Linked DNA regions of Anolis sagrei. The protein of the gene in region 1 binds, or shares a complex with, the protein of each later gene. Links are inferred from orthologs where the notes say so. Each region holds a gene or a part of one and is shown on either strand. Other genes may lie near its edges.

Region 1 (7,606 bases):
CACAGAACCCCTATGTGGGCCACAGCAACGCGTGGCGGGGAACGGCTAGTATAATAATAAAATTACAAATTGATTGTCCTTTCCCTGCATGGAAGAAAGTCAGACTAGATGGTCCATGGGGGTCTCTTCCAAATCTATTCTTCTGTGAGATAGAAGAGACTCCTTGGATGCAACCCAAAATCCCATTGACTTTTGGAGCTGCTGCATCCCATTGCTGGCTCATGTTCAACTGGTTCTCCACTAAGACCGCTTTATACACTGCCATGTAATTCAGATTATCAAAGCAGATAATCCATATTACCTGCTTCGAAATGGATTGATATGAGTCTATACTCATATCAATGAGTCTATAGAAGGCATGATCATCAAGTTTGCAGATGACACCAAATTGGGAGGGATAGCCAATACTCCAGAGGACAGGAGCAGGATTCAAAATGATCTTGACAGATTGGAGAGATGGGTCAAAACTAACAAAATGAAGTTCGGCAGTGACAAATGCAAGATACTCCACTTTGGTAGGAAAAACAAAATGCAAAGATACAGAATGGGGGACAATGCCTGGCTTGAGAGCAGTACGTGTGAAAAAGATCTCGGAGTCCTCGTGGACAACAAGTTAAACATGAGCCAACAATGTGATGTGGCGCCAAAAAAAGCCAGTGGGATTTTGGCCTGCATCAACAGGAGCATAGTGTCTAGATCTAGGGAAGTCATGCTACCCCTCTATTCCGCTTTGGTTAGACCACACCTGGAATATTGTGTCCAATTTTGGGCACCTCAATTCAAGAGAGATATTGACAAGCTGGAATGTGTCCAGAGGAGGGCAACTAAAATGTTCAAGGGTCTGGAGAACAAGCCCTATGAGGAGCGGCTTAAGGAACTGGGCATGTTTAGCCTGAAGAAGAGAAGGGTGAGAGGAGATATGATAGCCATGTATAAATATGTGAGAGGAAGCCACAGGGAGGATGGAGCAAGCTTGTTTTCTGCTTCCTCGGAGACTAGGACGCGGAACAATGGCTTCAAATTACAAGAGAGGAGATTCCATCTGAACACGAGGAAGAATTTCCTGACTGTGAGAGCCATTCAGCAGTGGAACTCTCTGCCCCAGAGTGTGGTGGAGGCTCCTTCTTTGGAAGCTTTTAAACAGAGGCTGGATGACCATCTGTCAGGGGTGATTTGAATGCAATATTCCTGCTTCTTGGCAGGGGGTTGGACTGGATGGTCCATGAGGTCTCTTCCAACTCTTTGATTCTATGAGTCTATACTGCCATATAATCAATTTCTTTGAAAGTAGTTGTTCTACTCCAGAAACTTTGTTTTGCCACAGACTAATTGGCTTAGACTCGATGAAATATTCATTGAAAAACTAGGGTGAAATGTGCTGCAGGACGATCTCTCTCCCGCACAAACTTTTTGCAGTTTAGTAAATATTTCCCATGTTTTATGATCTAACAAATTAGATTGTCGTCTTACATAGTGTTATTATTATTATTATACAATAATAATATACGATATTATATAGTATTATTATTAATAAAAATATACAATCTATATAAATAAAAATTTAATGTTTGGACAAATTGACACCAAATTTGGACACAAGACATCTAACAACTCAATATATGTCCTTCACTAAAAAAATGATTTTGTCATTTCGGAGTTGTAGTTGCTGGGATTTATAGTTATAGTTCACCTACAATCATAGAGCTTTCTGAACTCCACCAATGATGGAATTGAACCAATCTTGGGACACAGAACTCCCCTGACCAACAGAAAATACTAGAAGGGTTTGGTGAGCATTGACCTTGAGCTTGGGAGTTGTAGTTTACCTACATCCAGAGAACACTTTGGACTCAAACAATGATAGATCTGGACCAAACTTGGCACGAATATTCCATATGCCCAAATATGAATACAGATGGAGTTTGGGGGAAATAGACCCTGACATTTGGGAGTTCTAGTTACTGGGATTTATAGTTCACCTACAATCAAAGAGCATGCTGAACCCCACCAACGACAGAATTGGGGCAAAAGTCCCACACAGAACCACCATACTTAAGACCATCCAGTCCAACTCCTTTCACTAGGGCAAGAAAACGTAATCAAAGCCCTCCTGATAAAGAGCTATCCAGCCATAGATAAAGATAGATATATGATGATTCACACACATACACACAAACACAGATATAGTATCATAGATTTGAAAGGGGCCCCTAAAGAAGGATAATTATATGTTGCATGTTCCAGAGTAGGCAAACCAGACAATCTCCACATCAACACTGACAAAGAAACAACAAGGAATAGTTTACTCACAAGTATAAAGGAATTACATATATTAGAAACCATTACTTTATTTTTCAGATCACTAGACTGGACCACAACAACGTGTGGCAGGGGATAGCTAGTAATAATATATAATGTGCTGCATTTCCATGTTTTGATGATGGAACCAATTAGGAAATGACACTGGTAACCCAGGAACAATAGTCGTGTGAAGGTCATTTTGCATCCAGACCCTGTCTTCTGCAATATGAGCTCTCCATCCCAATTTGGTTCCAAACTTGATAAGAAGCATGCTCTTTAAACCTTCTTCTAAGCCATTCATGCATTTTCCTTCTTTCCACCCAAGAAGCTCCCAAAAGTAAGGCAATGTCCGGCCAAGCAATCTCTAAGGTCTCAAGGAGAGCGTCCCGGGCCTTACCTTCGTTCTTGAAGCTGCGGACAATGTTGGCGGAGGGCATAGAACTCTTGTCAAGGGTGAAGCGGTGGAAGAGCTCCAGCATGTATTCGGGAGGCTCCACTTTGGCCGGTTCTTGGACAGGGACCTCAGAGATGTTGAGGGCCTTCAATAGGTTCTGCAGAATGGGGTCCTGCTCGTCAAAGAAGGCCACATCCTCCGGCGCATCCAGGTCTCGGATGGGACCTCCGTCTCCAATGCGGAGCAGCATGACGGCCCACATTTGCAAGGCCACCAGCCTCATAGTTGCCTTTCTCATGGTTGCGTCCCAGCACAACAGATAGAGAGAGATATATATGGTCGTCCCAGCACAATGGATAGAGATAGAGATATATATGGTGCTTGTCACTAGCCGTGGACAAGTCTGGAAGCTCTTGCCCAGGCGCTTGTCATGCGAACGCCTCTCCTTCCAATCCCACCCCCTTTCGTCCAGGTCTCAGTAATTGGATCTGGTCTCCAATGGTCGCCTTCGCTGCCTTATCTCCCCCAGTGTAAGCTGTCCACCAGATTTCGGTCTCTATCTCACAAATGCGCCGCTCTCTTAATGAGCATGGTGTAAACATTCCTCGTTGGGATGCGATGGAAGAGTTGGCCAACTTTTTCCCCTCGTCTTGTGCGGAAGGACATACCCTCCCTTCCTCTACTTCTGTTTTCTCTGAGGACTGTTTCTAAGGGGGCATCTGCACTGGAGAATTAATGTGCTCAAATGGCAACGGCTCAATCCTGCATCCGGTTCTGCATAGATATAGGATGAGGGACACCTGGCTGAAGAACCTTCCGTGTGAAAGGAATCTAAGGATCTTTGGAGACCACAGCCTGAGCATGAGTCAACAGTGTGATGTGGCAATGACCAATGCCATTCCAGGCTGCATCCATAGGAGCCTAGCATCCACATCTCTGGTTTCTCTGGTTGCTTCTGGATCGAGAGAATCAGCCGTCTATGAAGACATTGCCCAGGGGACGCCCGGATGTCTTGCAATCCTGCGAGGAGGCTTCTCTCATGTCCCACTGGAAGCGTTGCATTGAATCCCACTGGAGCATTGCAGCGCACCTAAATACCTGGGAGTCACTCTGGACCGTTCTCTGACCTACAAGAATCACTGCCTGAACATCAAACAAAAAGTGGATGCTAGAAACAATATCATACGAAAGCTGACTGGCACAACCTGGGGATCACAACCAGATACAGTGAAGACATCTGCCCTTGCGCTATGCTACTCTGCTGCTGAGTATGCATGCCCAGTGTGGAACACATCTCACCACACTAAAACAGTGGATGTGGCTCTTAATGAGACATGCCGCATTATCACAGGGTGTCTGTGCCCTACACCACTGGAGAAATTACACTGCTTAGCCGGTATTGCACCACCTGACATCCGCCAGGAAGTTGCAGCCGATAGTGAAAGGACCAAGGCAGAGACATCTCCAGCTCATCCCTTGTTTGGGTATCAGCCAGCACGTCAATGACTTAAATCAAGAAATAGTTTTCTTAGATCTACAGAGACACTCGCTGGAACACCTCCGCAAGCGAGAGTCCAAAAGTGGCAGGCCCAAACCCAGCACCTCAATCCGTGGGTGATACCAGATGAGAGACTCCCCCCTGGGCACACAGAAGACTGGGCGACTTGGAAGGCGCTGAACAGACTGTGCTCTGGCACCACAAGATGCAGAGCCAATATTAAGAAATGGGGCTACAAAGTTGAATTCACGACGTGCAAGTGTGGAGAAGAGCAAACCACTGACCACCTGCTGCAATGCACCCTGAGCCCTGCCACATGCACAATGGAGGACCTTCTTGTGGCAACGCCAGAGGCACTCCAAGTGGTCAGATACTGGTCAAAGGACATTTAATCAGCTACCAAGTTTGCAAAATTTGTGGGGGGTTTTTTTCATCTGTTTGTTTGTTTGTTTTGTTCTGTTAGAAATGTAATACAATGTTCTGGTTGCGGATGACACGATAAATAAATAATCCACATCGAGGAAACTCCTAGTCTCTCTCTTCTGCTTTGGGAAGATCTCCTCACCTGGAATGACAGCCCTATGTCCCATTCTGGACAAAGCAATTGAAGAAGGAGTGCCTGAGAGTTTGGTCCTGGGCCCAATATTCTTCAACGTCTTTATTAATGGCTTGGATGAAGGTTTAGAGGGCCTGCTTCGTATCAAGCTAGCAGCTGGGACTAAATTAGGAGGGAGAGCGAATACTCCAGAGGACAGAGTCAGGATGCAAAAGGACCTCAACAGATGAGAGCTGATTGACCAAAAGAAACACAATGAATGTCAACAAGGAGCAATGTAAGATGCTACACTTAGGCAGGGAACAATGAAATGCAAAGATACAGAATGAGAGATGCCTGGCTCAACAACAGTCCATGTGAAAAAGATCTTGGAGTCTTCGTGGGAAGCAAATAGAACATGAGCCACGAGTATGATGCAGCAGCTCAAAGGCCAATCTAGTGTCTAGATCAGTGGTTCTCAACCTGGGGGTCGGGACCCCTGTGGGGGTCGCGAGGGGGTGTCAGAGGGGTCGCCAAAGACCATCAGAAAACAGTATTTTCTGTTGGTCATGGGAGTTCTGTGTGCCAAGTTTGGTTCAATTTCATCATTGGCGGAGTTCAGAATGCTATGTGATTGTAAGTGAACTATAAATCCCAACAACTCCAACTCCCAAATGTCAAGGTCTATTTTCCCCAAACTCCACTAGTGTTTACATTTGGGCATATTGAATATTCATGCCAAGTTAGGTCCAGATCCATCATTGTTTGAGTTTCTGGAGGTAGGTGAACTACAACTCCCAAACTCAAGGCCAGTGCCCATCAAATCCTTCCAGTATTTTCCGTTGGTCATGGGAATTCTGTGTGCCAAGTTTGGTTCAATGTCATCATTGGCGGAATTCAGAATGCTCTTTGATTGTAGATGAACTATAAATCTCAGTAATTACAACTCCCAAATGACAAAATCAGCCCCACCAGTATTCAAATTTGGGCATATCGGGTATTTGTGGCATATTTGGTGCAGTGAATGAAAATACATGCTGCATATCAGATATTTGCATGCCGATTCATAACAGTAGCAAAATTACAGTTATGGGGTAGCAACGAAAATAATGTTATGGTTGGGGGTCACCACAACATGAGGAACTGTATTCAGGGGTCGTGGCATTAGGAAGGTTGAGAACCACTGGTCTAGATCGAGGGAAGTCCTGGTGCCTCTCTATTTGGCTTTGGTCAGGCTTCACCTGGAATACTGTGTCCAATTCTGGACACCATGATTCCAAGCTGGAAGATGTCCAGAGGAAGAGGGAGACCCAAAGGATCAAAGGTCTGGAGACCATTAATAATCCGTCTGAGGAGCATCTTAAAGAGCTGGGTTTGTTTATCCTGCAGAAGAGAAGGTTGAGTGGAGGAGGAATGACAGCCATGTCTAAATATGTGAAAGGCTGTCATAAGGAAGAGGAAACAGTCTTCATTTCTGCTGCCCTGGAGACTAGGACGCGGAGCCATGGGTTCAAATGACAAATGAAGGAGATTCTACCTGAACATGAGTAAGAACTTTCTGAACGTACAAGCTGTTCAGCAGTTGAACTTTCTGCCTCAGAATCTGGTGTAAGCTCATTCCTTGGAAGCTTTTAAACAGAGGCTGGGTGGCAGTCTATCGGGGATACTTTGTGCTTTTCCTGCAGGACAGAAAGAAGGGGGTTGGACTAGATGGCCCTTGGAAGTCTCTTCCAACACTAGGATTCTATGATTCTAAGGAGATGTACAAGAAAGAAGGTGTCCAGAGAAGGGCTCCCCAAAAGTTCAAAGTTCTGGAAACCAATAATCCCTCTGAAAAATGGCTGAAGAAGTTTGGGATGTTTTTCTTGGAGGAAAGAAGGTTCAGAAGGAACATGAGATCCATGTTTAAATATCTGAAAGGATGTCATATTGAGGAGGAGGAGTTACAAACATCCAGCTTCTAAATTACAGTTAAGCACAGGGGTGGCCTGGATGGTTTTTGGGGGGCCCTTCCACATCTAGGATACTATAGGTAAAGGTAAAGGTTTTCCCCTGACATTCAGTCCAGTCGTGTCCGACTCTGGGGTGTGGTGCTCATCTCTATTTCTAAGCCGAAGAGCCGGCGTTGTCCATAAACACCTCCAAGGTCATGTAGCCAGCATGACTGCAAGGAGCGCCATTATACTAGATCTCACATATATATACTAGGCTTGGGCAATCCATGGTTCTAAATGGTTCTAAAGTACTTACAAGACTAAAGTTCTGGTGGTGAAAATTTCAGAACTCTAACAAAACTCTCAAAATTTCATAATAAATGGCAGTTCCTAATTGGTTCTGTCATTAAAATCACCAATAATGAAATAATAATTAAATTTTGAAAGTTTTGTTAGAGTTCTGAAATTTTCACCACCAGAACTTTAGTTTTGTAAGTACTTTAGAACCATTTAGAACCATGGATTGCCCAAGCCTAATATATACATATAGAGACCTATATATATGCAGTTCCCAAGTTACAGACATCCAATTTACAAATGACTCACAGTTAAGAAGAGAACTGGGTTGGATGGCCTTTGGGGACCCCTTCCAAATCTATGATATATATAGAGATATAGTTATAAACACATCCAACTCCTATTTAGGAGGTTGAGACAATAGGAAGTGAGAGGAATCTTCCTCTTGAAAGGAAGGGAAATCCACTCCTGGGAGAGTTGGTATCAGGGGGGAAAGGGTCTCTGCTCAAGCTTTGTCCCCAATACTTGTTTTCACAACAAGCCACATTTTGCAAAATCCAATAATAACAGGGATAGAAAGTGGGGTGAAATCTTCTGAACAGAGATACAGGCAACAGGGGTGTTTACCCTTCCCTATGCCATACCAA
Region 2 (7,578 bases), on another chromosome or scaffold:
CGACTGAAAAGGATCTGCTCCTCCCATCTATTATTCTGAATGATCTTACTTGGGCTTGCATGAAAAGACTCCAAACCTGATTTTATCTCAGGTTTGCCATTGTCTTCCTCTGAAGTTGAGAGTGTGTGACTTGCCCAAGGCCATCCAATGGATTTCCAGTTGTCAAGTCTGGACTCAAAGCCTGATCTCCAGAGTCATAGTCCAATGCTCAAACCACTATACTACATTGACTCCCCAAAATAATATACATTGGCATAAATCCAGGTTGATCATGGTAGTCCATGCCTTAGTTATATACTGCCTGGACTACTGCAATGCTCTCTATGTGGGGCTGTCTTTGAAGATAGTTCAGAAGCTTCAACTAGTCCAGAGATCAGCATCCAGGTTACTAACTGGGGCTCTGTACAGGGAGAGAATCAGTCCCATGTTATGGCATCTCCATTGGCTGCTGGTCTGCTTCTGAGATAAATACAAAGAGCTGGTTGTTACCTATAATGCCCTAAACAGTTTGGCTCCAGGCTATTTGTCTAACTGCATCTCCCAAATATAGACCCTTCATACACTTCGGTCAGTGGAGGAGGCCCTGCTCTCGGTCCCATCCCGTCATAAGCGCTGTTGGTGGAAACAAGAGAGGGGGCCTTTTCTGTGATCGCTCCCCATCCCTGGAACTCCCTCCCTAAAGAAATAAAAATGGCCTCCACCTTCCTCTCTACAGAGAGGAGAAGGACTATCACAACCAGCACTTTATGGCTGCTACAGTCTACTTTAAAGTACAACTGATGCTTGCCACATTTTTCAGTTTGGTCGTTTTAACTGTTTAGGGTATATGCTTAGTGCAATTATGTTTTATTGATATAATTATGTTTCCCTCAGTATTTGTATCTCTTGTTTTAATCTGAATTCTCTTGTTGCAATAAGTCTGATAATGTTTATTTTTCATCTTTTGATATTGTGTGATTTAATTATGGCATTTAATGTTTGCCTTTATATATATATATGTAAACCTCCCTGAGTCCCTCTGGGGAGAGAGGGCGATTTAGAAATAATAATAATAATAATAATAATAATAATAATAATAATAATAATAATAATGTTATAGCAGTGTATGTCACCAAGAAGATTCTGGCCTTTATCTCTTGATAAGTGCTCCCTTAAAATCTAGCAGAAGCCTGCTAGCTCTTGCACAGACCTGCTGGATATTGAGGGGCAGGACTTTTCTTTAGGTCAGAGGAGGGAAACTTAGGCAGACTGAAGGTCATTTTTCTGCTCTTGAGTGTGTCTGTGGGCCATACATGCAAAGAATAAAACCCAAACCAGGTGTAGTGAGAAGTCTATCACTTATTTTGAAAAACTAGTATTTTAAAAATGTATATTTTAAAATGCAATGTTACCAAAATCTATGAAGGCGTTAGAAGACACACATCAACACCCCTTTTAATTTTGTGAGAAAAACTGCTGTCTGAAGCCAAGGGTCACAGAAAGAGCCTTGCAGGGCCACATGCTAACTTAGGGCCCTTCCACACAGCCATATAACCCAGAGAAATAAGGCTGCATTATTTTTCTCAACCATCGAAGGGGGACTCAGGACGGCTTACAATCATAAAATCCCACAATATATTCTTTGAACTGGGTTTTCTGAGTCCATACTGCCATATATTGATTTTATGCTAGTTATATGTTGTTGATTGAGTTTTGGTTTATATATATAAGGCATTGAATTTTGCGTTATTTTTGTGTAAACCGCTTTGATTCCCCCCGGGGGTGAGAAAAGCGGTATATAAATACTGTAAATAAATAATATTCCAGTTCAAAGCAGATAATGTGGGATTTTTGTCAGCCATGTGGAAGGGGCCCTAGTGGGCCATGTCCACAACAGATTTGTGAAAGAAGACATTATATGTAACATTGTGTATTGTGTAATGCAAATCCCTGATGATATCATGGAATAGTTCTTGCAGTGCTGAAAATGCATAGCATAAAAACAAAATTAATAACTGCATTATTCTTTGCTACAATAGAATCTTGCTTATTCAACATAAATGGGCCGGCAGAATTTTGGTTAAGTGAAAACGTTAGATAATAAGGAGGGATTAAAGAAAAGCCTATTACACACCAAATTATGTTATGATTTTACAAATTAAACACCAAAACATCATGTTTTACAACAGTTCGACAGAAAAAGCAGTTCTATATATGGTAATGTTACGTAGTAATTACTGTATTTACGAATTTAGCAGCAAAACATCGCAATGTCTGTGGATCCGGGAGGGAGGCAGGCTGTGTTGGATAATGTAGAACTTTGGATGAGCAAAGGTTGGATAATCAAGACTCTAATGTACTTCCTTTCTCTTTCATCATTGCTATTGTAATTATTTTGCCCAGGAGTAATGGACATACAGGATTTAAATAGTTTCTCCATGCTATAAAAAGCCTGAGGCCTAAAATTTTGATATTAAAAATGTCACATTTATCCCCCGCTTTTGCCCGAGAGATGTTCTCTTGAATGTCTTCAAATAAATATGGAACGAATCAAGAGAGACACACATTAATTCTAACTTACCCGGGAGTCTTTGTAGACAGAACGGAGCAAACTTGGGCTTTAAACCGTATCCTGCCGTCTATCTCCTTTCAGCAGGCCTTGGCTGAGAATTCCTCAGATGAAAGCATTTTCTTTGGTACCAGAGTCCGAGATGGGTTTTTATTTTCTGGGAAAGTTGTTGACTGAAGTCACACTGGGCATCTCTTCATGGGTCTTAGATGCATGGCCTGAGATGGATTCATGGGTTTCCTTTCCAACGGTTCCAGTCCTCCTGGATTTTCACTTCAGTAAGAACAGTGCCCCCAGATTGGGGCTGAAGCTGAGCTCCAGTGAAGTCCGTTTCAAGGAAGCCACAGAGTTGAAGGCAGCTGGGAGTGTGTAAGGCTGGGTTGTGGGGGGAGACAGGATCCTCTTTCCAGCCCCCCTGCTCTTTCCCTCTTGCTGAAAGCAGCGGTTTGGCAAGCTCTGGATGTGGGAGAAGTTAAAAATGTTTCTTATTACTGCCTCTTCCTGCCTGGCTTTTCTCCACCACTCCCAGCTAATAAAGCATTTCCTATTGCGGAGCGTAGATCTATATGCGCACACACAACACACTCTTCCTCCCAAGCACAGCAGGGCCCTGTGCAATTGTTCTCTATGGTCTCCCTATTGCCTCACCTTTCTGGGTTTCCTTCCTCCCATCCTTCCCTGCTGCCGCCTTCATTTTCAAATCTGAATGGACTAATCCAAAGCTATGTGTTAGTTAACCAAACTAATCACTACTTTATCTGTCCAAAACAGTAAAACGTTATCCTGTCTGATAACTAGAAGAACAGTGACCTGTCAAAACCCTGCTAGGTTTTCTGCTTCCCTTTGAGAAAATATTTTTGGGTGGTCCTCAAAGTAACTTTTCTAAGGTTTACCTTTAGGTAAGCTGCTATCAGTGGGCTTCTTGACCCAGTAAAGTTTGTGAAGCTTGCAAAGTAACAGTTATTTTGTGCTGTCTTGCAACATTTTGAGCTCAGCCCTTGTTTGGTTCCTGTGCTTAAGTGAGACTGGCCGTTCTGTTGAAGACCAGAATACACTTAAGCTGTCAGCAGCAGCAGCATCTTCTCCAATGTTGAACACAGATGGTGAGTACCAACAGGACTGGGACCAAAACAGAGCTGCTGAAAAACATGGTGGGAGGTACCAGTGGGATTACAGATATTCAAAGCTGGAGATGTGCACAAAATATTTTAAAATATGAAGGCAAATAAGTAAAGACAAAACAAGTTCTTGAGGAAATGCCAAGTAGACCGGGAATGTTTCAGTGTACTGACATTGCATAAGTACAGTTGTGTTGTTGTGTGTCAGCAAGCTGTTTCTAATTTATAGTGACCCTAAGGCCATACGTCACTGGGTTTTCCAGGGCTGAGAGTGTATGATTTGCCCAAGGTCACACAGAAGGTTTCATGGCTGGGCAGGAATTGGATTCTGTTTTCCAGAGTTATAATCCAATGCTAAAATCACCACACCACGCACATACAAAAAAGTAGAGGCAAAGGTGAAGTAATGAGAAGATAGGAAAGCTTAGAGAAGACAACGATGCTGGGGATAATGAAAGGAAAAAGGAAGAGGGGGCGACCAAGGGCAAGATGGACGGATGGCATCCTTGGAGTGACTGGCTTGACTTTGAAGGAGCTGGGGGTGGCCATGTCCGACAGGAAGTTCTAGCATGGGCTGGTCCATGAGGTCACAAAGAGTTGGAAACGACTGAACAAATAAGCAACATCAAGCCAGTGAGCTCTGGAGTCAGGTAGGACCCATTAGAGATGAGTTCCTAAGCTGTAACACCACGTTACACAGAAATATAAACATTATCTTCTACCAGTGCTGCTGACCCTGAAATCTATCTTCTCCTAGAGATTGGGAGAAACGTAGAAATTTCTGGAGACTATGGGTCTAAAACTGAATGTGGGTTAAAACCTATCTCAAGGACTCCCTACAGCATGATACAATTAAGGTCATTTTGCACCTGCCCACACCAATGAAAGAGAGGCAAGGCATAATGTAAAAAGATAATAGAATAAATTCTATCTAGCTTTTAAAAAGTAACACATTAGTCATATTTTTAAAAGTCAATATATTACTCATTACTGGAAGAATTGTGCATTAGCAGCCTGTCATTAACATATTGCATCACCACCACCAACATCATCATTTCATAACAACACACTTAAAAATAGAAAAATGTCCTAATTCTTCAATATAATTCCTCCAAACAAGTACAAGTTGAGCATACCTTATCTTGAATTCTGAAATCTAAAATTGTCCATGTGCCTGTCTGAGATAAGGATGCTTTGGCTTTGTGATGCTTCAGTGTGCCCAAACTTGGTGTCATCCACAAAATTATTCAAAATATTATATGAAGTTACCTCCAGGCTATATGTATAAGGTGCCTCTGAAACATAAATTAGTTTCATCTTTAGATTTTTGTCCCATCTCATTATGTACATATATGCATATACAGGCATTTCAAAATCTCAAACTCAAAATATCTCTGATATAATAATAATAATAATAGTAATAGTAATAATAATAATAATAATCAACTTTGTTTATACCCCGCCACCATCTCCCCAATGGGGATTCGGAGCAGCTTACATGGGGCCAAGCCCAGACAACATGTTACAGCAAAATAAAACCAAAAACAACAAGCAAAATCATCAAAATTACATTAAAAAAACACATATGCATACAGTAACAAAATAACATTACAATAAACACAATTGCAGTAACAGTGGGCAGGCCACATGTACAGGATAAAATGTTAAAAAAAACTCTAATGAGATAAAAATAGGAGTAAGGTTGCAATGGTACCTCACAAAAAAAAACAAACACATTATGCCCATGTCACCCCTATAAGTAATGCATTCACAACAATATTCTGTAACCTGTTAAGCACTACCCTAAAGCTGTGATTCAGTAGGTAGGAATTCCTAATTCACACCTCCTGGCTGGACCTTCCTGTTCCCCTATGCGTTTTCCATATACTGACACTTCATAATGCCCCTTTTAGTGTGAGAGTCCCACTAGTGGGGTTCCTATGCTTTTGACAACCATGTGATAGAAATGCAAGATATAATATAATCCCTTGCAACTTTCTCTTCATTCAAGGGGAGAAAAAGAAAAGAAAAACCTAGGTTACATTTGATGTGTTCTTCTTTTTTCAGCATAGAGAGGGGGCATATTTTTGCTTATTACATGCAAGTCCTCTTTCTTCAGCATCATTAATATCAAAATCCAGGGAGAACTGGTGGCTTCCATATCAGTGGTGGTGGTAAATCTGTCCTGGGGCTGAGTCTGAACTTTAAAACAGCAATCCAAGATGCCTAAGGGTATGAACTAGGGTTTACTTTGGATAGGTCCTTCAAAATCTGGATTAAAATGTGAAGCAAATTCACTGCCCCATTGACATGGGACCCATTGGCCTTCACTAGAAACCTCTGCCAATATGCAGTGTCTCAAAATGTGTTCCTTCCTCAAACTAATTTTTATCATATCCATTCTGAACAAGACAGATACCCTAATAACAGTTTGCAAAAACTATTTTGAGAACTAACATAGGGTACTTCTACATAGGCAATTAATCAGGAGCAGAATGAGAATGATAGAAATCCAGTTCACTCCAGAGTGCCGACATAGGCACCACAGGAACTGGCTGGTATATGCAAGTGAGTCCACACAAATCCACAGGATTTCTTCATCACATTCTGCTCCAGATTGATTGGCTCAATTGAAATCCAGGAATATGTTTTTTACCTCCCCTAAGAGACAAACAACTTCTCAGAAGCACTTGCCTCACAACTCAGCAAGGCAGGGCAGTAAAATCAGGCATTCCTATGGGAACGCTGGGCTTTCCTTAGCGGGGTGGGTGGGAGAGAGATTTATTTTCCAGCTGGGCTTTACAGCTGCTTTTTTATTGTGAATGCTTTCTTACTCCTGTTTACATGAGAATCCCTGCATTTGCCGTCTGGCTTCTTCTTTTGCATTGTTTATACACAGAAGGAATTCAGCAGATTTTCTAGCTTGATCCAGGATTTCTGGTGAGTTTTTTTAAAAAAGATAACACTGCTCTGGAGATTGTTTTCTGAGCACACTAAACTTGAGCTGACTTCAAGCAGAATTTTAGTGTTGGTGTAGATGGGCCTCTGTTATGATTTTTGTAGATGAGTTACATCTGTTGAAGCAGACCATTGCACACCAAACCTGTGCTATAAAAATAGTATTTAAGTGCTTCAAGGTAACATCCAAATCTTGCATTGTATAAGCTAGTTATTTGGATTCCAGTGCTATATGTCTTTAGGACATATAGGACTGGAACCCAAATAACTAGCTTATACAATGCAAGATTTGGATGTTATCTTGAAGCACTTAAATACTATAGGACATATAGGACTGGAACCCAAATAACTAGCTTATACAATATGTCCTATAGACATATAGGCAATGAAAGTAGCAATGAAAGTAGCAAATGTGCAGGTACAACTGCACCAAGAGCTCCAATTTTGTTTGCTTCGCATTTAATGTTTGTTATAGTCCCAAGTTTCAGGAACTCTGCAGATAGGTGGCTTCTTTTGGCTGCAATCATAGGGCAAGCCACCTGTCAATTATAGTTAGGTTCCCTGGTTCCGCCCCCTTTTTGGGTTTTAGAGGGAATAGGAGCCATTTTGAGTTCAGTCTACACAGAGAAGCCTTTCATGCAGGACACAATACCAAGAGCTCCTGTAGAAAGCTTCGTCTTCTACGGCTTGGCCGGGGAGATATACAGCTCACAGCTTGGCCAGGGTTATACAGCCCTACAGCTCCTTTGCTGAAGGACTTCAGCCAGCCATCACAGAAACCTGAACTCCTTTCCCCCTGGAAGTCTACAAAGCTCTGCTTGGTAAGGGTCACTTGTGGAAGCCAGAAGCAGTTGGTACCGGGTGTAGGGGCTCCACACCAACAGAGGCGAAGACAGACTGCCTAGATTAGAGGTTAAGGATTTCCCCATTAGTTGAAATACAGTTTATGAAGAT

Evidence for each region. Proteins that work in one complex are often made in the same cells at the same time.
Region 2: the proteins of BMP10 (region 1) and ACVRL1 are in contact, whole or in part, in a crystal structure (PDB 6SF1), measured with the Homo sapiens proteins. The link is inferred for Anolis sagrei from reciprocal best matches to the Homo sapiens genes BMP10 and ACVRL1. Residues at the interface, in NP_055297.1 of Homo sapiens: Tyr322, Asn357, Tyr358, Pro359, Ala361, Glu362, His363, Pro366, Thr367, Lys368, Ile371, Leu375, Leu378, Lys379, Ser381, Lys386; in NP_000011.2 of Homo sapiens: His40, Val54, Val56, Arg57, Glu58, Glu59, His66, Gly70, Asn71, Leu72, His73, Glu75, Leu76, Phe84, Val85, His87.

Annotation. Positions count from the first base shown.
Region 1 is NC_090027.1:20,128,980-20,136,585, forward strand, and holds the start of BMP10 (bone morphogenetic protein 10), read right to left. Parts: upstream 3,088-7,606; 5' UTR 2,994-3,087; coding exon 2,699-2,993; intron 1-2,698. UniProt on the Homo sapiens protein: Required for maintaining the proliferative activity of embryonic cardiomyocytes by preventing premature activation of the negative cell cycle regulator CDKN1C/p57KIP and maintaining the required expression levels of cardiogenic factors such as MEF2C and NKX2-5.
Region 2 is NC_090022.1:139,386,639-139,394,216, forward strand, and holds the start of ACVRL1 (serine/threonine-protein kinase receptor R3), read right to left. Parts: upstream 3,079-7,578; 5' UTR 2,561-3,078; intron 1-2,560. UniProt on the Homo sapiens protein: Type I receptor for TGF-beta family ligands BMP9/GDF2 and BMP10 and important regulator of normal blood vessel development. On ligand binding, forms a receptor complex consisting of two type II and two type I transmembrane serine/threonine kinases.